Sus scrofa: one gene and its partners. Each later gene encodes a partner of the first gene's protein in a complex. Links are inferred from orthologs where the notes say so. Each region holds a gene or a part of one and is shown on either strand. Other genes may lie near its edges.

The links.
Region 2: NUP93 (region 1) and NUP188 share a complex: the UniProt entries of both Homo sapiens proteins name them as parts of the nuclear pore complex. The link is inferred for Sus scrofa from reciprocal best matches to the Homo sapiens genes NUP93 and NUP188.
Region 3: NUP93 (region 1) and CETN2 share a complex: the UniProt entries of both Homo sapiens proteins name them as parts of the nuclear pore complex. The link is inferred for Sus scrofa from reciprocal best matches to the Homo sapiens genes NUP93 and CETN2.
Region 4: NUP93 (region 1) and NUP107 share a complex: the UniProt entries of both Homo sapiens proteins name them as parts of the nuclear pore complex. The link is inferred for Sus scrofa from reciprocal best matches to the Homo sapiens genes NUP93 and NUP107.
Region 5: NUP93 (region 1) and NUP54 share a complex: the UniProt entries of both Homo sapiens proteins name them as parts of the p62 complex. The link is inferred for Sus scrofa from reciprocal best matches to the Homo sapiens genes NUP93 and NUP54.
Region 6: NUP93 (region 1) and NUP85 share a complex: the UniProt entries of both Homo sapiens proteins name them as parts of the nuclear pore complex. The link is inferred for Sus scrofa from reciprocal best matches to the Homo sapiens genes NUP93 and NUP85.
Region 7: NUP93 (region 1) and E3 SUMO-protein ligase RanBP2 share a complex: the UniProt entries of both Homo sapiens proteins name them as parts of the nuclear pore complex. The link is inferred for Sus scrofa from reciprocal best matches to the Homo sapiens genes NUP93 and RANBP2.

The regions. Positions count from the first base shown.
Region 1 is NC_010448.4:18,805,576-18,810,075, reverse strand, and holds part of NUP93 (nuclear pore complex protein Nup93), read right to left. Parts: intron 2,989-4,500; coding exon 2,899-2,988; intron 1,095-2,898; coding exon 955-1,094; intron 1-954. UniProt on the Homo sapiens protein: Plays a role in the nuclear pore complex (NPC) assembly and/or maintenance. May anchor nucleoporins, but not NUP153 and TPR, to the NPC. During renal development, regulates podocyte migration and proliferation through SMAD4 signaling.
Region 2 is NC_010443.5:269,276,089-269,280,588, reverse strand, and holds part of NUP188 (nucleoporin NUP188 homolog), read right to left. Parts: intron 4,378-4,500; coding exon 4,258-4,377; intron 1,102-4,257; coding exon 890-1,101; intron 1-889. UniProt on the Homo sapiens protein: Component of the nuclear pore complex (NPC), a complex required for the trafficking across the nuclear envelope. Required for proper protein transport into the nucleus.
Region 3 is NC_010461.5:123,902,943-123,907,957, reverse strand, and holds the start of CETN2 (centrin-2), read left to right. Parts: upstream 1-1,911; 5' UTR 1,912-1,965; coding exon 1,966-2,064; intron 2,065-2,969; coding exon 2,970-3,128; intron 3,129-3,383; coding exon 3,384-3,512; intron 3,513-4,549; coding exon 4,550-4,687; intron 4,688-5,015. UniProt on the Homo sapiens protein: Plays a fundamental role in microtubule organizing center structure and function. Required for centriole duplication and correct spindle formation. Has a role in regulating cytokinesis and genome stability via cooperation with CALM1 and CCP110.
Region 4 is NC_010447.5:33,030,711-33,035,210, reverse strand, and holds part of NUP107 (nuclear pore complex protein Nup107), read right to left. Parts: intron 4,274-4,500; coding exon 4,235-4,273; intron 3,986-4,234; coding exon 3,835-3,985; intron 3,491-3,834; coding exon 3,378-3,490; intron 2,454-3,377; coding exon 2,351-2,453; intron 1,900-2,350; coding exon 1,739-1,899; intron 527-1,738; coding exon 401-526; intron 4-400; coding exon 1-3. UniProt on the Homo sapiens protein: Plays a role in the nuclear pore complex (NPC) assembly and/or maintenance. Required for the assembly of peripheral proteins into the NPC. May anchor NUP62 to the NPC. Involved in nephrogenesis.
Region 5 is NC_010450.4:71,795,898-71,799,774, reverse strand, and holds the end of NUP54 (nucleoporin p54), read left to right. Parts: intron 1-2,011; coding exon 2,012-2,140; 3' UTR 2,141-2,857; downstream 2,858-3,877. UniProt on the Homo sapiens protein: Component of the nuclear pore complex, a complex required for the trafficking across the nuclear membrane.
Region 6 is NC_010454.4:6,075,775-6,080,274, reverse strand, and holds part of NUP85 (nuclear pore complex protein Nup85), read left to right. Parts: intron 1-1,177; exon of another isoform or gene 1,178-2,002; intron 2,003-2,056; exon of another isoform or gene 2,057-2,089; intron 2,090-2,174; coding exon 2,175-2,258; intron 2,259-2,408; coding exon 2,409-2,474; intron 2,475-2,681; coding exon 2,682-2,833; intron 2,834-3,598; coding exon 3,599-3,716; intron 3,717-3,824; coding exon 3,825-3,925; intron 3,926-4,500. UniProt on the Homo sapiens protein: Essential component of the nuclear pore complex (NPC) that seems to be required for NPC assembly and maintenance. As part of the NPC Nup107-160 subcomplex plays a role in RNA export and in tethering NUP96/Nup98 and NUP153 to the nucleus.
Region 7 is NC_010445.4:47,532,405-47,535,637, reverse strand, and holds part of E3 SUMO-protein ligase RanBP2, read left to right. Parts: intron 1-1,154; coding exon 1,155-1,300; intron 1,301-1,978; coding exon 1,979-2,252; intron 2,253-2,362; coding exon 2,363-2,697; intron 2,698-3,081; coding exon 3,082-3,233. UniProt on the Homo sapiens protein: E3 SUMO-protein ligase which facilitates SUMO1 and SUMO2 conjugation by UBE2I. Involved in transport factor (Ran-GTP, karyopherin)-mediated protein import via the F-G repeat-containing domain which acts as a docking site for substrates.

The DNA of each region.
Region 1 (4,500 bases):
GTGAGTTTAATATGTCTGATGGTGTTCATCTTATGTAGCTATTATATAATTATTACAGTATTTGGTACAAAAACCTGTTCTTTCTCTGCTGTACCAAGTCTGAATTACCTTGACTTCCTAATGAAGTATTATTTTGTTGACAAAGGGTGACCACACTACAAGACCACTGGCAGCTGCACGGGCTCGGCAGCAACGAACTGCAACTGAGCAAGCGTATTCAGCTTGGCTTTCTTTTCTTGAGCCAGCGGAGAGAGACCCAGCACCCTATCTCTGAAATACAGAGGGTCTGCTGCACACTCATGACAACCCCCGCTGGGCAATTCAGAGCTAGAAGGAGTGTCGACAGGGAGTGCTGAATGGCAGGGGCCCTACCAGTGAGAGAGACAATGGTTAGGGCACAAGGGCACAGCCACAAACACCTCGGTGGCCAAATCCAACTAGGGAGGAGGTGGCAAAGAAACCCAGGCACAAAGCAGAGGCGTCAGCAGCCAGGAAGGACCCGGACTCACAAAGATTAACCGAGCAGAGCTGGGTGGAAAATAAAGGATCAAAGGGCCTTCCTAAGGTTTAAGGGTGGTAGTGCTGGGTGAGAAAATCAGAACGCTGAGAGAAAACACAGAGCCTAAGGAGAATTGTTGAATCACATTAGGGACCAGGATCCTGACCCAAGGCATCATGGCCTAATAGTCATGTCTCTGTACTGAGGGACAAAGAGCAGAGAGAGAAGAAGAAAAGCCTAGCCATGTTCCGGGCTCCCACTCACCCTGATTTTATATCAGTGTAGAAACAGTTCTGGTAGAGAAGTGTTTCTGAAAACAGGATAACACCTCTCAGACTTGCTCAACCTTGTAAATTATACCAGCTACAGAGCACTTAGCTTGAGGACTACCTGAAACACGCGATCAGCTGACTTCAGGGGATTGTAAAGGCCCCTCTGTGCTGCTGCCGCCTTACCTCTGCTCCAGGTACCCCAAGGCCTGCCTGACGAACTCCATGCGCACCTCCACGCTGTTACGGCTCTTCAGGGCGTCGGTTGCCGGCGCCAAAAGCACATCTGTCATTTGTTTTACCATGGCCCACATGTCAGAGATGTTCTGCACATAAACAAGACCGCGTGTGACATGGCTGCAGGGTGGGGAAACTGGTTCTTCAAGGTGTTCTGACTCAAAGGCAGGCAGGATGTGGAGGGGACTGGTCAATGTCCTGAGACCCTCAGGCTCAGGTCCAGTACAAAAGACCCACCTCTGCCCCGCCAGATACTAGGCTCCCGTCTTCCTACTGGCAGCCCCTGTTTGCGGGTTGGTTTTCAGATTAATTACTATACCAGGTCTGACATACCCACGTACATAATTAAGACCACACAAAAGTAACAAAAACACTGAATCTCAGTGGGTTATCCCTTAAGAAGAGTGAATACATTTATAATCATCCAAAGATCTAGGAGTTGAAACTCAAGTAGCTGCATTTCAGTCCTTACAAGGTCATATGAGTTTTTTAAGGCTTAAAATAAGAGTTTAACCTACATAATACAGGTTTTGTCCTCCCAGAGACTCTCCAGGGGCCACCGCTGCTATCCCATTTTGTGAGTGTCACGGCCTCCCATTTTTCTGCCTACTCACTCCTTTCAAAAGACGCCTCCCACGCGGCCGCCTAGGAAAGGCATGGGCGTTCTCTCCTGTGTGTTAGCACCACACAGCTGGACCCCCTCTTCTCCCAGAATCCTCCTGGCTATAAACCTCTCCTTAGAAACGTGTTCCCTGAACCCTCTGCTTACAAAGTTAAGAAGAATCCTTGGAAGACAGCGGCGATTAGACAAAAGCATGTTTACACTGTTTCCAAAGGAAAAGAAAAAAAACCCCCTTTTTATTGTCTCTCTCAAAAATTAAAAAACTGTAGAAAATCCACCTAAATGACTCTTTCTAGGTGGTAAGATGGTAGATAAATTCTTACTTTCTCCTTTAGATCAGTTTATATTGCCTTATACTTTACTACTTAAAAAAAATAGTTAGGAATTCCCATTGGGGCTCAGTGGGTTAAGGATGCAGTGCTGCTGCACGCTGCAGCAGAGGTAGCAGATACGGCTTGATCTGGCATTGCTGTGGTGAGGCTGGCAGCTGCAGACATAGCTCCAATTTGACGCCTAGCCTGGGAACTTCCATACGCCGCAGGTGCGGCATATGGAAGACAAAAAAAAAAAAAAAAAAAAAAAAAAAAGTTGGATAAATTTTTAAAGAGAAAAAAGTGTGTATGAGTGCCTGCTTCTGTTATAGCCTTCCCTCCTTTTCCCATCCTGGCCACCTATCAATCTATTCATCCACTTTAAAAAAATTTTCTCCCCTAGGGGGAGAAAATTGGCCAAGGATAAGAACTGAGGGACAGGAATAAAGATGAAGAGCCAGAGAAGAATGGAGACAGTGGCATAAGAATAATGCTTGTAAAGACCCCACCTGAGTCAAGTTCAAGGGGCTCACTGGGCCTATTAAAGATGCATTTAAAATACATAAATTTGGAGTTCCCATTGTGGCTCAGGGGGTTACGAACCCGACTAGTATCCATGAGGATGCAAGTTCAATCTCTGGCCTTGCATGGCGGGTTAAGGATCTGGTGCTGCCGTGAGCTGTGGTGTAGGCTGGCAGCTATAGCTCCAATTCGACCCCTAGCCTGGGAACCTCCATATGCTGTACCTGTAGCCCTAAAAATAAATATATGTGTGTGTGTGTGTATAGCATCATCATCAAAAACCATCCCAAAATAGTAAAATAAACCTTTGAAGAGCAGTTAACATCTTATTCCATGGCGCAGAGCCTCTCTTAGCATTATTTCTGCAAAGTTGGCAAGCGCTAATCCCATCAGAACACCAGATCACATGGGTCTACTCAGGTCAGCTCTGGGCACTACCTTATCATCCAGCTCTGCGACAGAGGCACAGAGGTCCACGAGATTAGGCTGCAGGTGTCCATTTACAATCTTCTCATTATAGATATAAATCTGAAATGAAAAGCAAAGTAAATGCCACAGATTTTATTTTCATCCCTTCTTTTTAGAATACCTTGAAGCAGTTCTGAAACCAGCTTTTCTGCCCAATGGTCAGCAGAAGCGTTAGCCAACCTTTCTTGTCTCAGAGTAGCTGGGTAGCCTCACTGCCTGGAGGGTAAGGCCTCTGGCTGGCTTCCAGTTCTGTGTCTGAGCTTTGAGCAACAGCATGAACACACACCAAAGTTAACTGTGACCCAAGTTTTCCTAACACCGAGGAATGGGAGGAGGGTGGAGCCGGGGGAGGAGTACCACCGGCAGGACTGTGCTGCTCTGCCCAGTACACCCTCAGTCCTAGTGAGCAAGGACCAAAGGGGGAAGATGGGACGATGGAAGGTCTCCTGCTACTGCTTCCCATGAATCCGAGGCAAAGTTTGGTAAATCTTTCTGGCAAAAGGACTGAAAGAAAGGCCCCAGGCCCAGGGTTTGTGGAATGAATAAGGAGTGAAGGGTCGGAGCCTTCCACATGTGTTAGAAGAGCAGCTGCTGCATATTTGGGGTACCTGTTTCTCTAGGAAAGAATCCCAGTTCTCTAGTACAATCTTGTCAAGAAAAAGGAATATAGGGAGTTCCCATCGTGGCTCAGTGGTTAATGAATCCGACTAGGAACCATGAGGTTGCGGGTTCGATCCCTGGACTCACTCAGTGGGTTAGGGATCTGGTGTTGCCATGAGCTGTGGCGTAGGTCACAGATGCGGCTCGGATCCCGCATCCCGCTGTTGGCTGTGGCGTCGTGGCTCCTCTGGCATAGGCCAGCAGGTACAGCTCCGATTAGACCCTTAGCCTGGGAACCTCCGTATGCCACAGGAGCGGCCCTAGAAAAGGCAAAAAGACAAAAAAAAAAAAAAGGAATATAGGATGTTTATAGTATGGAAAAGCCATTATTACTCTGCATTTTATTTTAAAAGAACCAATATCATGATGGTAACAACTAGTACGTTCTAGTCTTTGCATGTGAAGTGCTTGTTCTACCGAGGTCTGAACAAGGTAGGGATGTCACACAAATCAGGACTCCATCAAACCTTACTTCCCTCTACTTTTTTTTAATGGCTGCACTTGCTGCATGTGGAAGTTCCCAGGCTAGGGGTCGAACTGGAGCTGCAACTGCCAGTCAACACCACAGCCACAGCAACACCAGATTCTAGCCACATTTGCGACCTGCACCACAGTGTGCGGCAACCATGCAGCAACGCCGGATGCTTAACACACTGAGGGAGGCCAGGGATCGAACCCACATCCTCACAGAAACAATGTCAGGTCTAACCCACGGGAACTTACTAAAAAATGTTTTTTAAACCATAAGGTGTTTATCCGCTCAACAAGCATCTACAAGGGGCCTTCCCTTGGGTACTATGTTCAATATGGGATATAAACATCCACTCTCCACTGGAAGGGACAGCCAAGTAAACAGATACATGATATTACAGTGTCTTTAGTTTTACAAAGCTTTCATCTTCACAGACACAG
Region 2 (4,500 bases), on another chromosome or scaffold:
AATTGAGTTATTTTACATTATTTCTTCACACTAACCCATCTAAATCCGGAATGTTTTTTACACTTTCAGCCCATCTCAATTTGACAAGCCACACTTTTTATTTTATTTTTTTGCTTTTTAGGGCCGTACCCACGGCATATGGAAGTTCCCGGGCTAGGGGTCAAATCAGAGCTCCAGCTGCCAGACTACATCACAGCCACAGCAACGCCAGATCCGAGCCACGTCTGTGACCTACACCACAGCTCACGGCAACGCTGGATCCTTCACACACTGAACAAGGCCAGGGATCAAACCTGCTACCTCGTGGTTACTAGTCGGATTCATTTCCGCTTCACCACAACAGGAACTCCAAGCCACATTTTAAATACTTGGTGGTCTTGTGTGGCAGGTGTGTACCAAAGTGAGATCCAGTACCGAAGGTTTCTACAGCAACAGCTACATCTAACCCAGACAAACTGTCTCACTGGTCAAGTGTGCATCCTCGTTCACAGAGGAAACAGGCCCCAAATGTGGCTATCTCCACTGCCACACAATTCAAGATCCACAGACCATGAATCAAAAGAGGGCAGCGAACACACCTGCCTTATTTATGACTGCTTTCTTAGCATCTGTACAGTGCCTGGTCGACAAAAGCTGCTCGAGAGATGTTTGTGGTAGAGTGAAAAAATGAATCCCTTAGATGAAAACAGCAAGTAAAAGAACAGAATGCAGTTCTTACTGGGGAAAAGATGTCCCTCTCAATCCTCGTCTCTGCTCCCTGTGTGGCCTAGAACGTGGCAGCCCACCCATTTGCTTCCCCCTCCCCTCACCCATTCAGGGGACCGCCACCACATCAGTGCTCTGTAGTACAAAAGCAGCACGGGTTCTAAGACCATTCACTCAGACTTACCCAATCCGATCCACAAAAGGATCCATGGACTCATCCACCAGGTGCCTGTTAGTCTGCCTACTACCAAATCCTTGCTCTTTAAACATCTTGGTTAATACCAATAGGTCACTAGGTGCCATCTCAAAGTACGCATAATAAAGGAAAATAATTTCTAGCAGCATGGACTGTTCCCGAAGGCACTGAACAAACCAGCGAGACACCTGGCGCTCGGTCTGCACAACCAATGAAGAAAAATGGGAGAGAAATAAAGTCAAGTTTTAAAACACATTTAAATGTATTCTTGTTAATGAGGTAACACACGCACAAAACTAAGGTAAAAAAAGTATCCTTACAATTCCTATGGCTCAGTCATTCGAATCTCTACCCAGAGGCAAGCACTGTTAGAGGTTTTTGTCTTTCCTTCCGATAATATGCCATACACATTCATTCATTCAGACTAGTGGTTGATGGGGGCCGAGGTCACAAACTGACTGCAGACTTGCTGGGTAGAGAGAAGTGTTCTCTGTAGTGACTGTGCAGTGGTGACTGCATGTAACTACACACAACTGCCAAAAGGCAGACTGTACACTTAAAATGAATGCCTTTTACTGGATGTAAACTGTACCTGAACAAACCTAGGGGACGCTACAGATCTGTTAATAACACAGGTCACTTAATGTGAGTGTGAATGCGTTTAGAGGATAAACTCTTAAGCGGAACTACTATGTCAAGAAATTATGTGCTTTTCAATTTTTAAATACTGTCATAATGTTTTACATTAAAAAATATATGTGAATTCGGAGCTCCTGTTGTGGCTCAGCAAGTTAAGAACCCAACTAGTATCCATGAGGATGCAGGTTCGATCCCTGGCCTCGCTCAGTGGGTAAAGGATCTGGCATGGCTGCAAGCTGCAGCATAGGTCAGCAGCTGCAGCTCAAATCTACCCTTAGCCTGGGAACGTCCACATGTGCAGATGCAGCCCTAAAAAGTAAAAAAAAAAAAAAAATTCATAGAGCAAAATATGTCTATTATCTTACCCCTTGCATGCTGTCATGTGAATGTGTTCATCGCATTTGCCTGTTTTTCTGTTGGGTTTTGCTTATTGATTTACAAGAGCTCTTTCTATTTTAAGAACCCATTGTGCTACCAGTTTGTCTTTTTTTTTTTTTTTTTTCTTTTATTAGCACCACACGTGAAGCATATGAAGTTCCCAGAATAGGGATCAAATCAGAGCTGTGGCACCCGGCCTACACCACAGCCACAGCAACACAGGATCCAAGCCGGTTCTGCAACCTACATCACAGCTCATGGCAACACCGGATCCTTAACCCACTGAGTGAGGCCAGGGATTGAACCTGTATCCTCATGGATACTAGTTGGGTTCAAAATCCTGAGCCACAACAGAAACTTCAACTGTGTATTTTGACTTTGTTTATAGCACTATTTTTGGTCTTCTGTCTTGTAATTTTTTTTTTTTTTGTCTTTTTGCCATTTCTTGGGGTGCTCCCCCAACATATGGAAGTTCCCAGGCTAGGGGTTGAATCGGAGCTGTAGCCGCCAGCCTACGCCAGAGCCACAGCAATGCGGGACCCAAACCGCATGTGCAACCTACACCACAGCTCATGGCAACGCCGGATCCTTAACCCACTGAGCAAGGCCAGGGATCAAACCCGCAACCTCATGGTTCCTAGTTGAATTTGTTAACCACTGTGCCACGATGGGAACTCCTGTTTTTGATTTTTTTTAAATTCAATTTAATTTTATTTTTACAGCTGCACTTGTGGCAGATGGAATTTCCTGGGCTGGGGGTTCAAGTGGAGCTGCAGCTGCAGCCTACTCCATAGCCAGGGCAACATGGATCCGAGATGCATCTGTGACCTATACTGTGCTGTGGCCACTGAGCAAGGCCCACTGAGCAAGGCCAGGGACCGAACCCATATCCTCATGGACACTATGTCGGGTTCTTAACCCGCTGAACCACAATGGGAACACCAGTATTTTCAATATCATGTTGGTGGGTTTTTCATTTCTTTCCCCTTTATGGCTTCTAAGTTTTACTTCAAAAACTCTTCTCCATGCCAAAAAAAATAAAATCAAGACCACCTCTCATGTTTCTTCTAGTACTTTTATAGTTGAATTTTTAAAATTTAAATCACTGTTATCTCTTGTGATTTTCTTCGGACAGAAGAAATGAGATAGAGATACACTTTAACTGTTCCCCAGAGGGCTACCCAGCAGTTCCAGCACCATTTACTGACTGGCCCAACATCTCCTGACTGATTCAAAACGCCACCTTTATCATCCACCAATCCGCTATCAGCATTTGGGCAACACCACCCTTTCTACCAGGTACTATTCATCAGTCTCTTCATGCAGCAAGGCCATGCTTTAACATACTGTAGCCTTATTATCTAATTTTCCTTTCTCAAAAATTTCCTGGCTATTCTTACTTATTTTCAAATGAATTTTAGAACCAGCTTTGCATAGTTCCATAATAAAAAGCAATTACTTATTAACATTTTCCGAGGATCACACTAAAATATCACTATTTTATAGGTTAAAATAAGCAGTACTGACACTTTCACGGTGCTGAGTCTTTTACATTCGTGATTGGCACGTGGCACGTCTTTCCATTTGGTTATGACTTCTTTTTATACCCGTTTAACATTTTAAAGTTCCCTTCATTTAGATTTTGGATAGTCCTGAGTTTATTCCTAAGAAATGTATGCTTTTGTTGTATTTTAAGTAGATCCTTTTCTTCTACGAACATTTTTTAAAAAGGTCATGTTCCAATCTATAAATGCAAACTGGTTTAAGATTAAGGATACAAAAATTAGACTACTGTCACACACTTAACAGATAATGGTAAAAAAGAAAATGAGGCGTCCCTGTTGCGGCTTAGTGGGTTAAGAACCTGACTGGTATCCAAGAGAATGCGGGTTCAATCACTGGCCTTGCTCAGTGGGTTAAGGATCTGCTGCCTCTGTGAGCTGGAGTGTAGCCTGAAGATGGCTCAGATCCCAGCTTGCTGTGGCTGTGGCACAGGCCAGCAGCTGCAGCTCCAATTCGACCCCTAACCTGGTAACTTCCATATACCACATGTGTGGCCCAAAAAAAAAAAAAAAAAAAGATGAGATCTTGGTTTAAGAATTCCATTAACCACTAAGAGACTATTTTAAGCAGGAACAAAAAGTTGATCAACTGGATTAACAAAGTCAAGGGGAATGGTCCAAATAAAAGACCATTAGTTAAAGTCAGTATTTTTATTCACACATGTTTAAACTTTTCTAAAGAATGATAACCTATAAATGCTTTAATTAATAAGTGAATAAATAATTTAACTTAGAGTCCTATGAGCAAGGATGTACAAATCCCCAATAACCACATACCATGAGGTTTCCATGTGTCTCCCATGTTGGTGCTTCGGTTTTATAAAGCTCTTCAAACTGCTGTCTATATTTTGTAACTAGCTCTTTTTCCAATTTATCAACACAGTCTGCATATTCAACCTTATTAAAAAACAAAACAAAACATAACTTATACCTGGAATAAAAGGTAAATATTTATATGAATATAAATATGAATAAATTATTAAAAGGATTAAATTTTAAAAGAGAACCAAGAGGACTAAA
Region 3 (5,015 bases), on another chromosome or scaffold:
GTAGAAGGACACAAAGAGAGAAGGACTAGTAGGGGCAAAACTACTAGTGCAGGAGGCTCAGATGCCAGGCTAAGTCTGGACTTTGGTCTGTAGTCATGGGGAACCTCTGATGAGAACTGCTCAATAGGAAGATTACCCTGATGAAGCAGCGTGGACTAGATAGGGGAGAAGCGGGGAACAGGGGGGCTACTCACCAGTTGTTCAACCAAGATTTAGTGAGGACCTAATATGTACCCTTCACTGATCAAGGTCCTGGAATGCCAGCAGTGAACAAAACAAAGATGCCTGCACCCATATGGCTTCCCTTCTAGTGGATGGGCAAAGAAGAACAAAATAAATAAGGATACAGTTATAAGTACTAGGGGATAAAAACAGAGAAAGGTGTAGGGTTTGGGTGTTCTGGGAGATGCAGGGCTAAATAGGATGCTTAGGGTGGCTCACTGAGAAGGTGACAGTGGAGCAAAGACCTGGAAGAAGGAAACAAGTAGAACAAACAGGCAGAAGAGATGGTTGGAACAAAAGTTTGAAGGCAGGAGTGTGTCCGTGCATTTGAGTCCATCAAGGAAGCTAGTGTCCTGGGGCTGGAGCAGCCAGGGGAGAGGAGGAAGCATGTTGGGATGGGCCTTGCAGAGCATGGTGAGAGCTCTGGCTTGTACCCACAGGGGGGCTGCTGCTGAAGGCGTGAAGTGGGACAGGAGCAACAGAGGTGGAAAAGAGAAAAGAAACACCCTTTAAGGAGGAAGCTGACAGAAAGTGGAGGCTAGTTAGTGGGGCCAGGGCAGGAAGAGTCAAATAGGACCAAAAGGTTTTGGACTCGGCTTGTGCTCAAAGAGGAAGAGGGTAAAGGGCAGAAGTTCGGCAAACATTTTCGCTTAATGAATGTCAATAAATCTCAGGCTTTCTTCAGCCTGAGAAACTTATGCTCTGTCCCCTGCTTCCCAAAATGCTGTGCCAATGCCCAGAGGTGAAGCAGGTAAGGGCTGAGAGGCAAGAAGTGCCCTTACACTGGGCTGGCTAAGGAAGGCAGACCTTGGACTTCCAGGGCCACTGTTCCAGCTCCCTTTCATCTGTTACCGTGGCACACGCCCCCTTGTAATTCTCTGAGCAAGCCTCACCTTTCCAAAACGGCTCTGTGACTTTGCTCATGAAGTGTCCCCACCTGGAATACTCCTCACTATCCGCCTTGAGTGTTTGGTTGTCAAAATGAGTATATTTTGATGATCTGTCCCCTTTATGCTCACTCAAATCTCCTTCACTCCCTTCAAAGGCCGTTCCTAGGCCCCCAGCTCATCTTCCCGAGCTGCTTTTAGCCAGGTGAGAACTAAAGTGATCCTATCTTGTTATCTATTTGGGGTGGGACGGACACGCCCAAAGAAAGAGCCTCAGGTGGATGAATTCAGCTTCTAAGTCCCAGACGTCCGAATTTCTGTGATAACGCCCGGCCTCTGCCTTTCCTTCTCCGTCTCAGTTGCCCCGTAAATACATCCTCTGCTCCAACACGCAAGGTCACGGTCTTCTCTGGCCCCTCTGACCCTAACTCAGTCTTAGTCCAGACCAGAAAGTCCCCGACCGGGTGAGGGCTTGTTACCTTTTCGAGCCCCGCGAAAGGCCCCACCCAATTCCTTGCCTTTCCAGTCCTATCGCCAACCCAAGAGCGAGGTCGCAACCCTTACCTGTTGGTAGGTGCCTCCCTGGCCGGCCTCAGCGCATCGGTAGCCTACAGCCTCAGAGCTCCAGGCGCCAGCAACCACCTGTTTCTCCCCACCCTTATGAGGCTACTATCAGCCGAGGCGCCTCCACCAAAGGGATTGGTGCTGGCTCGGCCAATCAGCGCTCGCGGTGTAATCCTGCCCAATAAGGCCAGGCCGCGCCACAATGCCCTGCGCCCTGCGTCAGGCCTCCGTCGGGTTAGTCCCACCCACTCCAGCACTGTGCCAATGGGGAGCTGCAGTCATCTGTCCTCCAATGGGGTGCAAGGCCGCGCGCAGGGGGCGGTGGGAAGGGCGCCGAGTCGGTGTGTACGTCCGTTGCCGTAACAACGGGAAGCGGAGTCCATCGGCGATGGTGAGTGCTTGTTACCCTTTCGAACCCTGTGTCCAGAAGCTGAGCCCTTCACAGGCCTTGGCCTGGCCCCGCCGTCTCTCCTGCGCGGTTCTCGGCTTTGGCGCACTCTTTCCTCTGAGCGCTTCCCGGAAGGGTAGGGTAGAGATCCTGGCCGCCCTGCTGGGCCTGCGATTAGCCGCTGCGTCCCATTCAAGCCACAGCTGGCCCCTATCCGTCCTTCGGGCTCCCCTGGCTCCTTCGGTGACCACCTCTGGTCAAAACAGACTCGGGCTCTTCGCACACCCCGACCACTTCCAGACTCTGGCCTCCTGGCCGCCTCTACCAAAGTTTCTACCCAGAGCCTAGGGGAAGTTTATTGTGTTTGATTGTTAATGTGCATTTAAAATGTTAAATATTGGGACTTCGGAAACGCTTTGACCTTCTTGGGGAAGGCTCAGATGTGCCGAGGGGATTGAGTTTTATTATTCGATATTGACAGAATATACATCTTAACTTAGTATTTGGCCAAATTAGAAGTAATCAGAAAATCTTATAACTTAGAGCGAAGCAGAATAGCGTTCTAAGGACATTTTTAGATTTAGGGTCCCAAATTCAGAGAGAGCTGATTATCTGTACATTTATCCAGAGTCAGCTCCTTGGCCAGCTCTCTTTTTAGATGATTTCAAATAAGAGATATCCAAAAGAACAAAGGATCTCCTTCTAGAAACAGTAGTAAAGAAGAGGGAGGGATAGAGGTGCAGAGAAAGAGTATTTGCTCTTTTCACTAAACGCTGTTATTTCTCCTGTTAGTTTTGGAATTCGTTGGTATAAACTATTTTAAAAGTAGATAGGATTGTAACATATTTATGTAAAATATGTACCCTATTACATAATACCGTGCTTCTCTGTTTGTGAAACATATAAAGGCCTCTAACTTTAAGAAGACAAACGTGGCATCTGCTGCCCAGCGAAAAAGGATGAGCCCTAAACCAGAGCTTACTGAAGAGCAGAAACAGGAAATCCGAGAAGCTTTTGATCTCTTTGATGCTGATGGAACTGGGACAATAGATGTTAAAGAACTTAAGGCAAGCCCTGTACATTCCTGCTCTGCTGCCTTGACTTTTCTCTGCCTCTTTCTCTTCTGTGCTGTTTTTCTGTCTTTATTTACCTCAAGTATTATTAAACAAAATTGAGTGCAAATATCAATTTGCTTAATGTTATAGTGTTTCCTAATTATTTTAACATGATTGTGTCAGATACTGGCTTAATGCTCTCAATGCTGTCATTTTTTGCCCCTGGGTTTAGATGTACATATTGAGATGATCCTGTTTTCATTGCAGGTGGCAATGAGGGCACTGGGCTTTGAACCCAAGAAAGAAGAGATCAAGAAAATGATAAGTGAAATCGATAAGGAAGGGACAGGAAAAATGAACTTCAGTGACTTTTTAACTGTGATGACTCAGAAAATGGTAGGTTAGCTAAGATGATGGGTGTATTTTCCACCAATAATGGTGGACAGATTTGAGTCTAGATATGAAAGTGTCTTTTCACCCATTGGTCCCTTTCTCTTTCATTGGCCTCCTGGCTCCTCCTCAGTGTGGCTCATGTACATTCTACTGGCCCGTGGAAAAGTAGCTCCATCAGTGCTTCAGCTGTGCTTCCCAAGGCACAGGTCTCTTCCCACTCTAATAATCCTGTTGCTTTGAAATCATCTAATCACACCCATATTTTTCTTCAGGGACTAAGTTAAGAGTTCAGGAAGCTTTTCCTCTTTTCCTCTGTCAGAGTACCTGGGATTCTAGTAACTCTTGGTGCTCTCATAAGTGAAATCGCCTTCTCTTTCCTCCCTGCTCCCCTCTGCCCCCAAGAGGATCCCAGCTTAAGCAGTGGAATTTCCTCTAAACTTAATCCCATCATCTGCTGCTGTATTTTATTTATTTATTTATTTTTTTGTCTTTTGTTGTTGTTGTTGTTGTTGTTGCTATTTCTTGGGCCGCTCCCGCGGCATATGGAGGTTCCCAGGCTAGGGGTTGAATCGGAGCTGTAGCCACCGGCCTACACCAGAGCCACAGCAACGTGGCATCCGAGCCGCGTCTGCAACCTACACCACAGCTCACGGCAACGCCGGATCGTTAACCCACTGAGCAAGGGCAGGGACCGAACCCGCAACCTCATGGTTCCTAGTCGGATTCGTTAACCACTGCGCCACGACGGGAACTCCTGCTGCTGTATTTTAAAAAGCAGTCTACTTTTCTCTTCCATTTGTATAGAAAATGTTTTAAGTGCAAGCCTTTATATTTCCTTCTTAGCCTCTGGGATTGTACCAATTTCATGTTTGTCCCCTCTCTCTACGCTGGTTGATTTTTGATCTTCTGTGACCTAGCACCAATGTCATGAGGCCATGTGGTGCTGTTGTGGCAGGGCAGAGGGGATGGTGCTAGGGTTGTGGGACACAGGTAATTATGAGTCTCTTTACTCATGTGTTTTTTATGTTCTACTTGTTAAGTCTGAGAAGGATACCAAAGAAGAAATCCTGAAAGCTTTCAAGCTCTTCGATGACGATGAAACTGGGAAGATATCGTTCAAGAATCTAAAACGCGTGGCCAAGGAGTTGGGCGAGAACCTCACTGACGAGGAGCTGCAGGTGTGTGATGTGTCAGCCTGGAGCCCTGTGTGGCTTTTCCGTGTTATGTTTTCTCTAATGCTTTGGAGGAAAACTAGCATTCTCTTGTCCCTCTAGTGACCATTTAATTTCTTTTTCAATAGTGTGGCAAACGTATGGGCGCTGCTGCCTCACGGATAGTTTTACTTACTATTTTAGGTTTTAGGCGTCTCCCTGGTCAAGATGATCTTCGAGCTCAGGTGATACATGTGTGGCAAAGGATGGCTGGGTTTTCAAATAACTTTTCGGGAGGCAAGCTATTATAAGAAGCAGCATCTTGTAGTGTGTGTGTGTGTGCGGGGGACTACAA
Region 4 (4,500 bases), on another chromosome or scaffold:
CATCTGCAGAACAAACATAAGGCAGACATATGATGGACTAAAGCCAATACAAATAATACATTTGTACACACAGGAATACATACATATGGAACATCATTCTAAAGAGTTGACATTCAGTAAGCTAAATACAAAAATAAACACCAACAGACTGCAGTTAAATAAAACACTCAAAACGTTAATCATGTAAATGAACACTTGTGTCACCTGAAGGTATGTTTCATGTTTGGTTAATTATCGACAGAAAAGTAAGTAAACAGATGGCTTTTTTTCAAAGTAGAACAGTAAAAAAGGAAGATCATCGATTACAATAGGAATATAACTACTAAAGAACTGATCTCTTTAAATACATAACATGTATTTTTGAGATGCAATAGACATGTCTCATCTCCATTCAACTTACTTCGTATTTCTTTTCTTTGTGTTCATGAGCCACTTTCTCAGTAAAAGTTGCTTGAGGTATCAAAGTAGGTTTTTGTGGAGCTGAATTCATATGCTTAAACCACTCATTAAAGGTTTCATGGGCTTCCTAAAATGCAAAATAGAAAAATACAAAAAAAGAAAACTTTTCACATATGTTTAAAACAAAGCTTTTAAAAAACAGGTCCTAGAAATAATTTTGCAGCACCAAGAAATAAAATCGTTTAATATTTCTTTTTTTATGCAAAAAACCATGGTGAATAATTGTTTTGTTTGTGATGTCCACATGTTTACTTGCTGTCTTCTTGAGGAGCCTGTTAACTTCTAGAGGGCAAGGACAGAAAGCCATCCAGACTTAGTCCTAGACCCTAGTCAATATGATCACCTCATTGTTTGTTGAATGAATTTTGAATGAGTATGTTGTTATTCAAACTCATAGTATGTTACGTAGTCATAATATAGAATATTTTACTTTTCTGTTATTGCCAAAAGCAGAACTGTTAAAGTTGAGATAAGCATCCAAAGAATCTTAAGAAAACATCCAGGAGTTCCCGTCATGGCTCAGACGAAACGAATCTGATTAGTATTCATGAGGAAGCAGGTCTGATCCCTGGCCTCGCTCAGTGGGTTAAGGATCCCGTGTTGCCTTGAGCTGTGGTATAGGTTGCAGATGGCTCGGATCTGATGTGGCTGTGGCTGTGGCATAGGTCAGCGTCTATAGCTCCAATTTGACCCCTGCCTGGCCTGGGAACCTCCATATGCCGTGAGTGTGGCCCTAAAGACAAAAAAAAAAAAAAAAAAAAAAGTAAAAAGAAAACATCTACTTCAGACATCACACACACTATCTACCATGTGAGATGTCTTGGTTGGTTAGCACTGATTAGGGACTCCTATAAATGAAGACCAGGTCATGATTTCAAAGTCCTTGTGGATGAGTCAATCCCACAGTGGGAGATAAGAAAATGAGTTAATTGCCACTTCTGGGAGCTCCCCCTGTGGCTCATCGGTAATGAACCCAACTAGTATCCATGAGGATGCGAGTTCGATCCCTGGCCTCGTTCAGTGGGTTAAGGATATGGTGCTGCTGTGAGTTGTTGTGTAGGTCGCCGAAGTGGTGCTTGGATCTGGCATTGCTGTGACTGTGGTGTAGGCCAAAGCTACAGCTCCAATTCAACCCCTAGCCCAGGAACTTCCATATACTGCAGGTGCAGCCTTAAAAAACAAAAAAAAATCGCCACTTCTGGAAAAACAGTTCAGAGTCTGAGAATGAATAAGAACAGTCAAGGTAAAGGCACTGTGCAGTTTTTCTTTACAATCTCACCAAGTAAGCTCTAATGCACAAATGTTCTCGGATGGCGTTATCATCTTCAGCAGGAAGTGGGCTCTCCATTCCTTGTTCCTCCCATTGATTATAGATTTCTGCTATTGAATCCTGAGGAATTTTCACGAATACTTCTTTTGCAGCTTCGTGTTTTTTTGATGCTATGAAAAAGACGATTCGCCAATATATATGGATTTCTGTTAAATGGTTTCTAACGGAGTCAAATCATTGGTTTGCAACTTTCACAGTGACCTGTAACCACTCCAGGTCCCGAGGTACCTCGGTTAAAGATCTGAGTGATCTTTCTACTGAATGGCTGGGCTTTTTCCTTATTTCGATGCAACCATCACAAAAAGATTCATTAATTGTAGTTACTTTTACATACTATTCTGTATCTTAAAAAAAAATTAATTCCATTTTCAAAGCCTTGAGGTTTTAGAGGCAAAACTGAATAGGACATGAAAATTCACTATTAAATATGTTTTGTTTCATAGTACCAAGTTTAATATATGAGTGGCTGTTTTGTACTTTACCCTAAAACAGAAAACAAAGTTCAAGAACAAAACAAAAACTTGAAAAAAAAAAATATATATATACACAAATACAGCATACCTAAGAATTTCCTCATTATCGCATTGCCTTGTTTTAGTGCTTCCGCTCTCTGTGCTGGGTCAAATACCAACCAGTCAATTACATCAATTTTTAAACGGTCCTCCTATTCATTTAATTGGAAAAAAGAAATGTCAACTTTGTTTTTTCTAAGGTATCTTGCAAATTAGTAGAAATAACTTATATGCTCACTTCTAGTGAATATTTTCCCTCAAGTTACATAAAATTATGAAGAATATAGCTTTTCTTATTTTCACATTTATTTTTATTTTTACATTTAATAGCAGCCTATCAAATTACAGAAAAAACTTATTGGACTGTGAATCTGTAATTATATATTCAATGCACCACCAACTTAACCATGTGATTTCTTTAGGTGCTACTCTAAATTTTTTTTCTTTCTGAAATAAAACTTTCTATTATTTTCTGAAAATAGGAATAAAGTAAGCTACATAAAAGTTAGGGATGCATTCAAGTATCTAGAAAAGTCTGATGAGCAAAAATCTAATGCTCAGCTATTTTCTATTAAAGAAACTTCCTTTAACATACTACTACTACTAAGCAATTCCTTACATATGCTCTTAAGCTTGCTGCCAATTTTTACAACTTGGCTGACACAGCAAAATTCTTCAAAAAAGAAAGAAGCCAGAGCATTTTAAGGGTAGAAGTTGACAAAGGAATAACATGAGGGATTATTGCAGGATATAGAACACATACCCCCAGAGTTCCCGTCATGGCTCAGTGGTTAACGAATCTGATTAGGAACCATGAGGTTGCGGGTTCGATCCCTGGAACTCGCTCAGTGGGTTAAGGATCCGGCGTTGCCGTGAGCTGTGGTGTAGGTTGCAGACGTGGCTCAGATCCCCTGTTGCTGTGGCTCTGGTGCAGGCTGGTGGCTACAGCTCCGATTCGACCCCTAGCCTGGGAACCTCCATATGCCGCAGGAATGGCCCAAGAAAATGGCAAAAAGACAAAAAAAAACAAACAAAAAAAAAACAAAACACCACACACTCCCTTCCCCGCGTATTACCTCTGTAGTGCCAGTATCTAGGGCTGGGGCCAGGTCATGATGACTGAATTCACCATTATCTTTCTTTCGAGTATTCTCAACTACAGTTTTTGTTATAGTTGCAATATCCAAATCTAAAGAATTTTTTGAGGAGACAAAAATCAAGAATTAATTGTTCACACATTATTCTCTAAATGGTTACAATGATTTGGTAAATTTGGGATAACAATTCTTTAAAAATGTCACATGTAAAACGAAAGACATTCTGGCATTATGAAATTCCAAAATTAAAAGACATGTTATACTTCAGTGACAGTAGAAGTTATTTCATTGCTAAAACAGAATTTTATTGAAAAACTCATTCCTTTTTTTTTCTCTTAAGAGAAATAAGATTTAAAACTAGAATGATAAATGTCACTAGAGTCAAATGATAATTTGTCTATAAAGCCCAACAGATGAGGTTCTCAACCATTTTTACCTGCTTCTTTAGCCAGCTCCAGGCAATGGTGGCGCTGTTCAAATTCTGTAACACCTTCCAAAAATAGTGCATACTGGGCAACAGCTAGGTCTTGAGGCAAATGACAGGTATAAAATGCTATGAGATCTGTATGCTTCTCATTTATTAAAAGCTAAAAAGCAGAAAGAGATCAAAGTGTGTCAAAAATAAAACAAGTTCTAGGATCAGCAGTGCTTTTTAAAAAGTTCATTTCAAAATTTCATATGTATTTTAGAGAGTCATACAGACACAGATTTGTGCTGCTAAACACAATTAATTTTAAATTTCAAAAGAAAGTACTTATGATAATTAAAAGATCTCTTATGGATTCTGATGACTTTCCTGCCACTGGATATTAAAATATTATCATTCTGAAGTTTACCTGTATGTATGTCTTTAAAACCTCAATGGAAACTTCTTCCTTCATAGGAAAAAAAGAAAGATATAATTCCATTATAAACACAATTGCTTACATATACCAACAAATACATCTAATAAAAATTCTGCTATAATGATTTTTAATATTTACCATTGAGCAATAACTATATGTCAAGTAAAGTACTTAGCGAGGTTTACATTCAAAGTTAAAAGCCTGATTTAACCTTACCAGACCCTTTGTCGGTAGTCACTATTATTTGCATTTTTCAG
Region 5 (3,877 bases), on another chromosome or scaffold:
CTCACTCAGTGGGGTTAAGGATCTGGTGTTGCCATGAGCTGTGGTGTAGGTCACAGATGCAACTCGGATCCTGCGTTGCTGTCCGTGGTGCAGGCCGGCAGCTGTAGATTCGATTGGACCCCTAGCGTGGGAACCTCCATATGCCTTGGGGGCGGCCCTAAAAAGCACACACACACACACACACACACACACACACACACACGCGCGCGCGCGCGCAAAAGGAATGCAGAATCTATCCTCACTCCAGACCTTCTTAATCAAATTTTTCAAGATCACAGTGATTTGTATGCACATTGGAGTTTGAGAAATAATTTCCTTCTATCCCATCTTTCCCACTTATACGATGCCACATACAAATTATAACTACATAGAGTTACTGATCTTGTCAGCCCTCGGGGACCTGGGTGGAGGCTAGGGTAGGCAAAACCTGCAGCTGCTTGTCTAAAATTCACTTTCTATGGAAAAGCGAGTAAGTACTTTTCTAGCATGTTTTCATTGGTATAAATCTATACACTGGTTTAGTAAATGCTGTCCAGCCATCACCTGTGTCTAAAAAAATATATTAAGATGGTAAACTTTGTGGAATTTGTTAGGTGCCACTAATTGGCATGGCTGGTTGGCATGGCCCTGAGGATTTTAGGTGGCTATAGATGTCATCAACAAATCTGATTTTATTACGTTTCTTAGAATGAATATTCCCATTTTATGCAGCTAAAAACTAGTTGGCTCCTGGGTTCTTTAAAAGTATGCGTACATTCGATTATATTCCATTGTAAATATTTACAGTAGGAGCTCCCCTCATGGTGCAGTGGAGACGAATCCGACAAGGAACCATGAGGCTGCAGTTTCAATCCCTGATCTTGCTCACGATCTGGCGTTGCTGTGAGCTCTGGTGTAGACCACAGAAGTAGCTTGGATCCTGCATTGCTGTGGCTGTGGTGTAGGCTGGAAGCTACAGCTGATTCAACCCCAAGCCTGGGAACCTCCATATACCATGCGCATGGCCCTAAAAAACAGCAAAAAAAGGTTATTTACAGTAAAATAGATTCCAGCACACTGGAGTCAAGAACTATATGAAAGTGTTTATGTATGCAGTAAAACTGGGAATAATATAAACACCTACCTAAAATGACGAAAAGCAGTATATTGTTTTGGGTTGAATCATGGCTCATCACTTAGTTTATGACCTTGAGCAGGTTACCTGTTTCTCAGTTTATCTGTAGAGAAGAGGTAATGATGGTACCCACCCCCCCAAAGGGTGCGTGCTCAAAGGGATTTTATTTCGTTTGTCTTCTTAGGGCCGCACCTGCGGCATATGGAGGTTCCCAGGCTAGAGGTCCAATCGGAACTACAGCTGCCGGCCTGCACCACTGCCACAGCAACGTGGGATCCCAGCCGCATCTGCGACCTACACCACAGCTCACAGCAACGCCAGATCCTTAACCCACCGAGCGAGGCCAGGGTTTGAACCTGTGTCTCCTTGGGTACTAGTTGGGTTCATTAATCACTGAGCCGTGACGAACTCTGCAAAGGGATTTTAAATAAGTTTGTTAATGCCCATGAAGCTCTTACAGCTGCCTTAACATCTGGGAAGGATGCTTCAAAATATTAGCAGTTGGTAGTTATCACTGTTATCATCGCTTTGTACTTCAAAACATGGAAATCCTCAGTTTTCAGGACGATTATTCTGTTCGTCATCCACATTTGAGTATCTTCCTACATTGTTTTAACGTATCTTTTTTAGTCAGAGGTTGGTAAAAGGAATCTAATAAACATCTGTCTTTTGTAAAATTTCTGTTGCATATATTGTTCATTATATATTTTATTGCTTTTCACCATAGTATTTTACTGTAGGTCATATAAAAGTCTTAGCAAATGATACAGTGCAAATGTCTAAATATGCGTATTTTTAGGGCAGATACTAAGTGCTGTATTGTTAGTGAAATAGTGAAAACTAATTTTTTCCTCTGAGTAGCCTGGAGTGATATGTTACTATTTCAATTTCTTTTAGCATTTGAAACAACAACAGGAAGGCCTTAGCCACTTGATTAGCATCATAAAAGATGACCTAGAAGATATCAAGTTGGTAGAACACGGATTGAATGAAACCCTCCACATCAGAAGTGGTGTCTTCAGTTGACAGTTCACAAACTCATGTTTAAGGTTTGTGACGTACATCTTCTTGTTATACACCAAGCTTTCCTTAAGAATGAAACTGACCACATGGAGGGGGGGAAAAAACCAATCCTCTCTCCTGGCTTGGTTTTTGAGAAGGTTACTGGTAAATTATTAATCATCGAATCTGAAATGAGTCATTTAACTGCTCTTCAGAGATAGCCTTTGAAAGATTTACATCTAAAAGCTGTAATTACTTTAAGAGAATATGTAATTACAAAAAATATGTACTATTGTACATTTTTACAGCAGCATCATTCAAAACAATCAGTGTTTAATGATTATTCTCCATTGAGCCTGAACTCTGCTTTCCGTGGCAAGTAAATATGAAATATCAACTTTGCACATAACAAAATAAACTGTATAATCATTTGGCTGTTGGAGATTTGTACTTCAAAATGTAAATGTACATCAGTTTTTATATTTGTGAATTCATCTGTGGGAAGAGGAGCAAAGAAAAATCTAAGTATTTAATGATTAATGTGGTTTTCTTTTCATTCTATAAAGATTTGAAAATATATTTTTATATTATTTTACTTATTTGGAATTTACAGAACACACCTAAGCAATTAGGATATAACAAAGTTATGTTTTATCATTTTTCAACTTTTTTGTTTTTTAAACTTTTTTATTTCTAAAAAAGATAAACATGAATAAATTGTTGATTGTAATTACTTTTTATATAATTCTGTCTGGTGCTTTATTTGGCTCTTGGAGAATGACCATTCATGTCCACACAAGTACTAAATCATAATCACAACTCAGTTTCATCCTGGTTTTAAGTCTGACTTTTCCCTCCTAGGAAAATGTATCAACACTGATATATTTTGATGAGGGTGTAGCAAATAAAAATTCCTTCAGGAGTCATCTAGGATACAGAATTCTCTAATATGTTGTATCTGAGAACACTGGAAAATCTGAATAGACCTGATGATGTGCAACAGTGATTTTTTAACTAGATAATTTTAAGAGTTTTTCTGACTGCAGACTGCACACTTGGGCTGCATCATGTCTGCCCCTCTTAAGGATGCATTAAAAGTTAAAGCATTAAACTTAATGCTTTAACTTGACATTTCTGGGTAATGCTTTGGCTTATGATGTTTATCGTAAGAAACAGCCTGAGGAACCTTGCCACCGTGTTGCCTGTGAAGATAGTGAGGAGTGTGACGCACTGTATGTCCAGCCAGAGCCATCCTCTTGGGTCCCACTGAAGGACTTTCTGTCTAGATGCAGACCAGGTAACAGTTTTGTAGGAAACAAACTTTACAGCTCATTCTCTCTTTCCATGACAGCTGCTAGAAGTGTGCAGCCACTTTTGCAAGTTTACGTCAGGCAAACTTGTTATATACTCCTCTCTGTACCACCCTTTCATCATACCTTCCTACTCATTGCTGCAATTCCAACAGTGGTGGGAGGAATTTTTTTCTCTCCGTTTGCTCCTTGGCCCAGAAGATAAGCACTTCCATTCTTCTCATCCACGTAGTGCATGTGGAAGGAGTGTGTTCCCCTGCATGCCATCTTATCATAGCAAGAGTTGTTGATCTAACAGATGAGAATTGTTACTCATTGAGCCACATTCTCTGTTGGGCAGCTGGCTAATCAACGCACATTGTGCTCACTTCTCTAGCCTTTTGTTTTTTTGTGCTCTGATATTATATTATCAGGTTTCTGATTTCACCAGCCCTAGACAGGGCTCAGGGCT
Region 6 (4,500 bases), on another chromosome or scaffold:
TCAGAATCTTAAAGTCCTGTACTGACCGTTATAATTCTTCCACTTTGACAATGAAGCTGTGGTTGAAGGAAATGAACTGGGCAGTCCTTGAGTAGCAGGTCTGTTTTTTTTTTTTTTTTTTTTTTTTAGGGCTGCAGGTGCAGCATATAGAAGTTCCCAGGCTAGGGGTTGAATTGGAGCTGCCGGCCTAGGCCACAACACAGGATCCGAGCCACCACAGCTCATGGCCAACGCCATATTCCTAAGCCACTGAGTGAGGGCAGGGATCAAACCCGCGTCCTCATGGCTAGTTGGGTTTGTTACCGCTGAGCCACAATAGGAACTCCTGCAGGACTGGATTTGAACCAATTTGCAGTGCTTTCCCTTGGACACAGCTATGCTTTTAACATGTATATAGAAAATAGAATTTTCAAAAATAATATATTTCTTTTGTTTTTGTTAGGGACATACCCATAGCATATGGAAGTTCCCAGGCTAGGGGTCAAATCAGAGCTGCAGCCGCCAGCCTGTGCCACAGCCACAGCAACAACAGATCTGAGCCGTGTGTGCAGCCTACATCGAAGCAAGGCCAGATCCTTTTAAGCCACTGAGTGAGGCCAGGGATCGAACACACATCCTTAGGGATACTGGTTGGGTTCTTAACCTCCTGAGTCACAGCAGGAACTCCCCCAAAATAATCTTTTAAGAGCAGTTTATAGTTTACCACTTGTATATATTTATATCTTACCACATATTTCTCTTGAAAACAATCCAGGTAAGCCAAGAGGTAAAATTACTTCCATTTATAGATGAAAGGGACACAGAGGTAAGTGACTGAAAGGACAGTCTCGAGATCCAGTCATATGATACCTTTTCCATTAAATCACCTCCTGACTGATGAAATAATATTTTCAGCTGTTAAACTGTTGCTACATCAAGGAGGTGTGATGAAATTATAATGGTTAACAGCAACATTATCCAGTGAGTTGGGGTTTGGTTGGGGGGCTGTCATAAGGAGATATATTTATTGGGACTCTTGTCTAAAAAGGACACAATCAAGGAATGCAGCAGGAGTTCCCACTGTGGTTCAGCAGTAATGAATCCGACTAGTATCCTTGAGGATGTGGGTTCCATCCCTGGCCCCACTCAGTGGCTTAAGGATCCAGTATTATCGTGAGCTGTGGTGTAGGTTGCAGACGAGGCTCAGAACCCATTCTGCTGTGGCTATGGCATAGGCCGGCAACTGCAGCTCTGATTTGACCCCTGGCCTGCGAGCTGCCGTATGCCACAGGTGTGGCCATAAAAAAAAAAAGAAAAAGTTGAGCTGTATTTGATATATGAGAGAATTTTAGGAAGGCCGTCATGACATTCCACAATGAATTCTGGAGCAGGTGAAGTATCATAGTACTTCTATCTTTAAGATCAAGGCAAAAGTTTTAAACATTGAAAGCTTCCTTTCCCTCTCCCAAGATGGGAATGATAGTCAAACATTTATATACAGATACAGAAAGGCCAGTGCCAAGTAACAAATGAAAAATATAACTCAAAATGATGTATGCACACTTGACGACAGTAAATGCATTGGTAAGCTTCACACAAAATGATGCCAGAGAGTTTACAAATAGTGATGGAAAAACTTCATCAGACCCTTAGCGGGCCCTAGAAAATGTCATTTTTAACAAGGGCCGCCCATGATTCTAGGTTTTGATTAAGAAAGAGTTTTTAAAGTGACATGTCTGTAGTTGTATTCATAAAGCATGCTAATGAAAACTGCAATGAGGAGAAATGTTAATAGCAAATGCAATGCAAACAGAGCTATTCCTTTGAGTTCCATGTTTCATCGAAACTCAAAAGCCACTAGTCTTTCGGTCTTTTTCTTGTACATTATTCTGCATCTTCGTCCTCTATATCTAATTGGATCCCTGGATTTTATTTCATTTTCTGTGTGATATTCTTCACTGACAGGTATCATCGGTTCTTGTTTTGAGGGTTGAATGTCTTCCTCCGTGTCCACTGTTAGTCCCTACCTAGCATGCAGCGACCTCTCTGAGCTTGCAGGCAGATTCCAGCTTGTTGCTGTCCCTCCCGTCCTAAACCCATAAGAGGCCATGCGGGATTCCTGCTTATGCTCCACTCGTGTGGGCCGTGGCCTCTCATCCTGACTTTGCCCCTTACCTTGGTGTTTGAACTTGTAGCATTGCCCTCAGCAACTGGTGGTTTGTGGCCCACCTGACAGACCTGCTGGATCACTGCAAACTCCTCCAGTCTCACAACCTCTAGTAAGTATGCTGGGGCCAACACTCTTCTCGCTGCCACCCAGACCCTTGGGTGTGGGGGTACCCGAATGCCTGGAAGGGAGGTTGGGCTGTCACAGGGGGCCCTGGATAGAGCAGCCCAGGAGTTTGGTCTCATGTTACGTTTTATTCCAGCTTCGGGTCCAACATGAGAGAGTTCCTCCTGCTGGAATATGCCTCAGGCCTGTTTGCCCATCACAGGTATGCTGGCAGTGGGTGCTCCTCAGCATGTGGCTGCCGGGGGTCGGGGCAGGGGGGCGGGGAGGGGGCTTGGACTCTGTTCTCTCCTGTCTGGTTCCCCGAAGGCTGCAGGGTTTGGAGCAGAAGCTGCCTTGAGTGCGCATTCCCAAGCCCCAGGGCAGCGTCTGGGCTTGCCAGGCCCTCATGTCTGTCCTTGGACCTGTGCAGCCTGTGGCAGCTGGGGGTGGATTACTTTGACCACTGCCCTGAGCTGGGCCGAGTTTCGTTGGAGCTGCATATCGAGCGGATCCCGCTGAGCACGGAGCAGAAAGCCCTCAAGGTGCTGCGGGTTTGCGAGCAGCGGCAGATGACGGAGCAAGGTGAGTGGCTTCTCTGCCCGGCGTACCTCTGTGCTCATGCCGTGCTGCCCGGACTGAAGAGCGTCTGGGCAGCAGGTGCCAGGAGGTAAACGAAAACCCAGCACACTACTGGGGAGGGACAGAGAGCTAGGGGTCCGATGGGAAGTAGTGGAGGACGTTGCCTTTATAAAGGTTCTGAGTCACTTCTTCTCTCATGCTTTCACCAGAGGTCAGACGGGAGCAGCTGTGGGTTGTCCTGTCCCAGTGGGTGGCTCTGGCTAAGGCTGGCTGGGTAGGGAAGTGGGACTGGAGCTGGCTCAGGAAGAGCCGGGGTGGCGGGGGGAGCGAGGATGGTTGCTCCTTCTCTTCCCCTTGCTGCGGAGTGACTGGTAGAAACCTAAGCTGCCTTCCTGGAGGAGGCACTGCATGTTCATGACTCTCTGTGAAAGCACATGGCATTCAGGACCCAGAAGAGGAGAGGGCTTGGAGTACCTGGACAGATCAAGGAGGCGCTGATCTGTGGGGAGCAGGACACATCTTTGTGCCACCCCTGAAATGAAGCCCCCTCGCAAAGCCAGTCCTTCCAGGGTGGGTCCTACTGTTAACAAAGCCAATTAGAGAATTTATGAACCCTCGAGTTCCTAGTTCTGCTGGCCAAGCTGTACGTGGAGAGCCCATAGAGAAGCCTAGTTCAGGAGGTGGGAAGGCCGCTCCTGTCCCAGTGGGGTTCAGGAATGGAGCGACTGACAGGGTGAGAGGTGTGCCTTTTCTCTTTTCCCTGCAAAGTTCGCAGCATTTGTAAGATCTTAGCCATGAAAGCTGTCCGCAACAATCGCCTGGGCTCCGCCCTCTCTTGGAGCATTCGAGCCAAAGATGCTGCCTTTGCCACGCTGGTGTCAGACAGGTAGGCTCAACCGGTGTGCCCTCCCTGGGTGCTGTCTGGCAAGGTGGGAGGCTGAGGAGGTGAGCCCGGGACTGCTGCTCTCATCTCCAGGCCGGGCCTTCCTTGCAGGTTCCTCAGGGATTACTGTGAGCGAGGCTGCTTTTCCGACCTCGATCTCATTGACAACCTGGGGCCAGCCATGATGCTCAGTGATCGACTGACGTTCCTGGGTGAGTCTGGCCTCTGGCCCCTGGACCTTCAGCACAAGTGGGCCGTTACAGAGATTGGAGGGATGGTTCTAGACTTCTCCAGGCCAAAACACATAGACCCGTGTGCCAGTCTCTGCAAAGCACATATTTTTGTGTTGTTTGTCTTTATAGGGCCGTACCCACAGCATATGGAGGTTCCCAGGCTCGGGGTCAAATCAGAGCTGTAGCTGCCGGCCTACACCACAGCAACACCAGATCCGAGCCATGTCTGTGACCTACACCACAGCTCAGGGCAACGCCAGATCCTTAACCCACTGAGCGAGGCCAGGGAATTGCACCTGCGTCCTCATGGTTCCTAGTCAGGTTCGTTAACCACTGCGCCACGACCGAACTCCCAAGGCATATTTTTTGGTAACATTTTATCTTCCGGTAATTTCAAACTTAGAGAAAAGTTATGAAAATAGTATAAGAAGTAAGGAATTCCCCTATACTCTTTACCCAGACTCACCAGTTACATATCTGGCCTCATTTCTCAGTCAGGCTTTTTTGGGAATAACTTGAAAGTAAGTTGGAGACACTGTTTTCCTTTCTCCATA
Region 7 (3,233 bases), on another chromosome or scaffold:
ACTACACCACAGCTCATGACAATGAGAATCCTTATTACACTGATTGAGGCCAGGGATCGAACCTGCGTCCTCGTGGATACTAGTTGGATTCACTTCCCCTGAGCCACTACGGGAACTCCAAACCCAGTTATTTTTAAGCCCCATCCTGTGGCTGCTGTTCTTAAGGGAAACTCCCACATAACCTGAGCTCGTGCTTTTCTCTTTTCAGAACATTCTTTTGCCGGACCTTCTTAAGAATTTTTTTTCTTTTTTTCTCTTTTTTTCCCCTCCTTATTAAACCTGGCTTGGGAGTTACTGTTTGAATCTGTCATTTTGTTCTTTCTTCAAGGTGCTGAGTTTTTAACTGCTCAGTGACAGTTTTGCCTTCTCTCGAGTTTTTAGCATCAGCTGCATGTTTCTCTAAGGCAGTGTGGTGGCTCAGCCATTGATGAAAAGCTGAGAGGTGTATTTCCTCTCAGAGTGTGGGCAGTGGATTAGCAGGTTGGGTCACCTTCACTTGAGATGGGGATGGGGGAGCTTGGTTTTCACCCTCTCCAGGGTGTGAGGGAGAGTAAAAGTCTTTATTCCTCATGTGGCGATGATGGGGAGCCTTTTCTCCTCAAGGGCTGGAGTCGGTGAGCTTCTCCCAAGGCTGCCAGTACCACCTGGCCAGGCAGTCTGAGCTCCAGCTCTAGTTCCCTGAGGAAGAAGTTGAAGTGGAGAAGTTACACACATGGGCCTAGTCCACTTTGGCTCATTTGAAAGTAGCAGATTTGGCCTCTTTGAGAACATTTCTAGGTTCAAGAGTTATTGTTTTCATGTGATAGACTGTTTTATGAAATAATCTACCCCTGGAGGCTGAACCAGGTGTTCACAGTTTCACGGTGTGTACTTTGAGTTCATTACTGAAAGTCCTTGTGGTGTTTAATATTGTGAAGGTGACCTAAGGCTCAGAGGACCCCGTGCTGCCCGTCCAGGCAGACGTTCCTGGCCGTGCCGTGCCGTGTGCTCGCCACCTGAGTTTAACCTGCCAGAAGAATACACTTTCACACGTTGTTACTAGAAGCATGTCACATCGTCGGCAGTTAGATTCATGGATAAAGTAATCTAATAGGGGGATCAAAAGCTTACTGAAACGGACTCGGACTGTTTAAATATGCTACTTTGTCCGTCAGATAAGAATTTCCAGTGGGCAAATACTGGAGCAGCTGTGTTCAGAGCACAGTCGACCAGCAGAGGTGGCGAAGACGAAGATGGCAGTGACGAAGAGGTGGTTCACAATGAAGACATCCACTTTGAACCAATAGTGTCATTACCAGAGGTGAATATTAAGCAATGAAAGCTGTACTAGTAATTTCACGTTTGACGTTTAAAACTTGATTTGTAGGGCTGGCCTTGTTTTGCATTGTTTCAGAACACTGCCCACCTCAAATGGAAGTTCTATATTAGAAGTTCAGCCTTTAAGCTTAAATTGTCTCTTTGAAAAAATTTATATATAAACATAATATTGGTAACATTTTATCCTATATGAAATTGTAGGGAAGAACTTACTTGTTTTGTCTGTTTTCATAACATAATTCTAGGGGCAAAAACAAAAACAAAAAAACTAATCTTAGATTTGCCACAGTCCCTTCATTAAAAAGTAACTTTTGTTTTCTTTTTAACAAGAATGTTGTTTTTGGTTAGTTACTTTTATAAATTTCAACTTCAATCAGTAGATAATATTTCTCTTGAAGAATAAGCATGTTTTGAAATATCCTCTCTCCTGCAAAATACTGTATTAATTTCTAAAAGGAGGAAGAATGCTGTGTAAGAGGAAAATATTTCATGACAAATCAGGTCTTTCCTGCCTCATTCAAATCGCATGCATTTGTAGCCCTAAGGTGTTAACTGTTTTCAAATTCTGTTCCTGTCAGTATCTAAAGGAATGTGAATCTTTGGAATTTGTTGTGGGATGTTTTATAAGCAGCAGCTTATAGTTTGTCATCTCTTATCTTAGGTAGAAGTAAAATCTGGAGAAGAAGATGAAGAAGTTTTATTTAAAGAGCGAGCCAAACTTTACAGGTGGGATCGAGAGGTCAGTCAGTGGAAGGAGCGTGGGGTCGGAGACATAAAGATCCTCTGGCACACGATGAAGAGTTACTATCGGATCCTCATGCGCAGGGACCAGGTCTTTAAAGTGTGTGCAAATCATGTCATCACCAAAACCATGGAATTGAAACCCTTGAATGTCTCCAACAATGCTTTAGTTTGGACTGCCTCAGACTATGCTGGTGAGCTCTGCACTCAGACTTTCCCACAATTGAGAACAAATACATAGAACAATGTGTATAACACTTAGCGCAACACTAAGACCACTGTTTTGTTTGTTGTTGTTTGATAGATGGAGAAGCCAAAGTGGAACAGCTTGCAGTGAGATTTAAAACTAAAGAAATGGCTGATTGTTTTAAGAAAACCTTTGAAGAATGTCAACAGAATTTGTTGAAACATCAGAAAGGACAAACATCACTAACAGCAGAGTTATCAAAGGAGACAAATCCTGTGGTGTTTTTTGATGTTTGTGCAGATGATCAACCTCTAGGACGCATAACCATGGAATTATTTTCAAACGTTGTTCCTCAGACCGCTGAGAACTTCAGAGCACTGTGCACTGGAGAGAAGGGCTTCGGTTACAAGCACTCCATCTTCCACAGAGTGATCCCAGATTTTGTTTGCCAAGTAAGTCTTCAGTGCACCTCACAGTGGGGGTCTAGAAAGGGACAGCACACCTACCTGGGCAACTTGAGTGTTTCTCAGTTTTTCCAGACTTCCTTCCCTTTTCCACACAGCAGTTGGTGTCCCTACCCCAGCTTCTGTCCCAGCAGAACATTCAGTCTAAAAGGGTTCATATTTCTAAATGCCTTGAACCTGCCAGAAATTGAGGTGGGAAAAGATCTCTTCCATTTTTATCCTCCTTCATAAATGCACGGTGCTCAGTTTTCAAACTAACAAAGCTTAGGTTCGCAGCGAAGCTGGGTGTTTAACACCTGTCCTTCAGTGGTTAGTTCTTTATGCATTTTAACAGTGTCTTTGGGATTCTTGTTAATTGAAATCTCTTTTCAGGGGGGAGACATCACCAAACATGATGGATCGGGAGGACGGTCCATTTATGGAGATAAATTTGAAGATGAAAACTTTGATGTGAAACATACTGGTCCTGGCTTACTGTCAATGGCCAATCGAGGCCAGAATACCAACAATTCTCAATTTTTCAT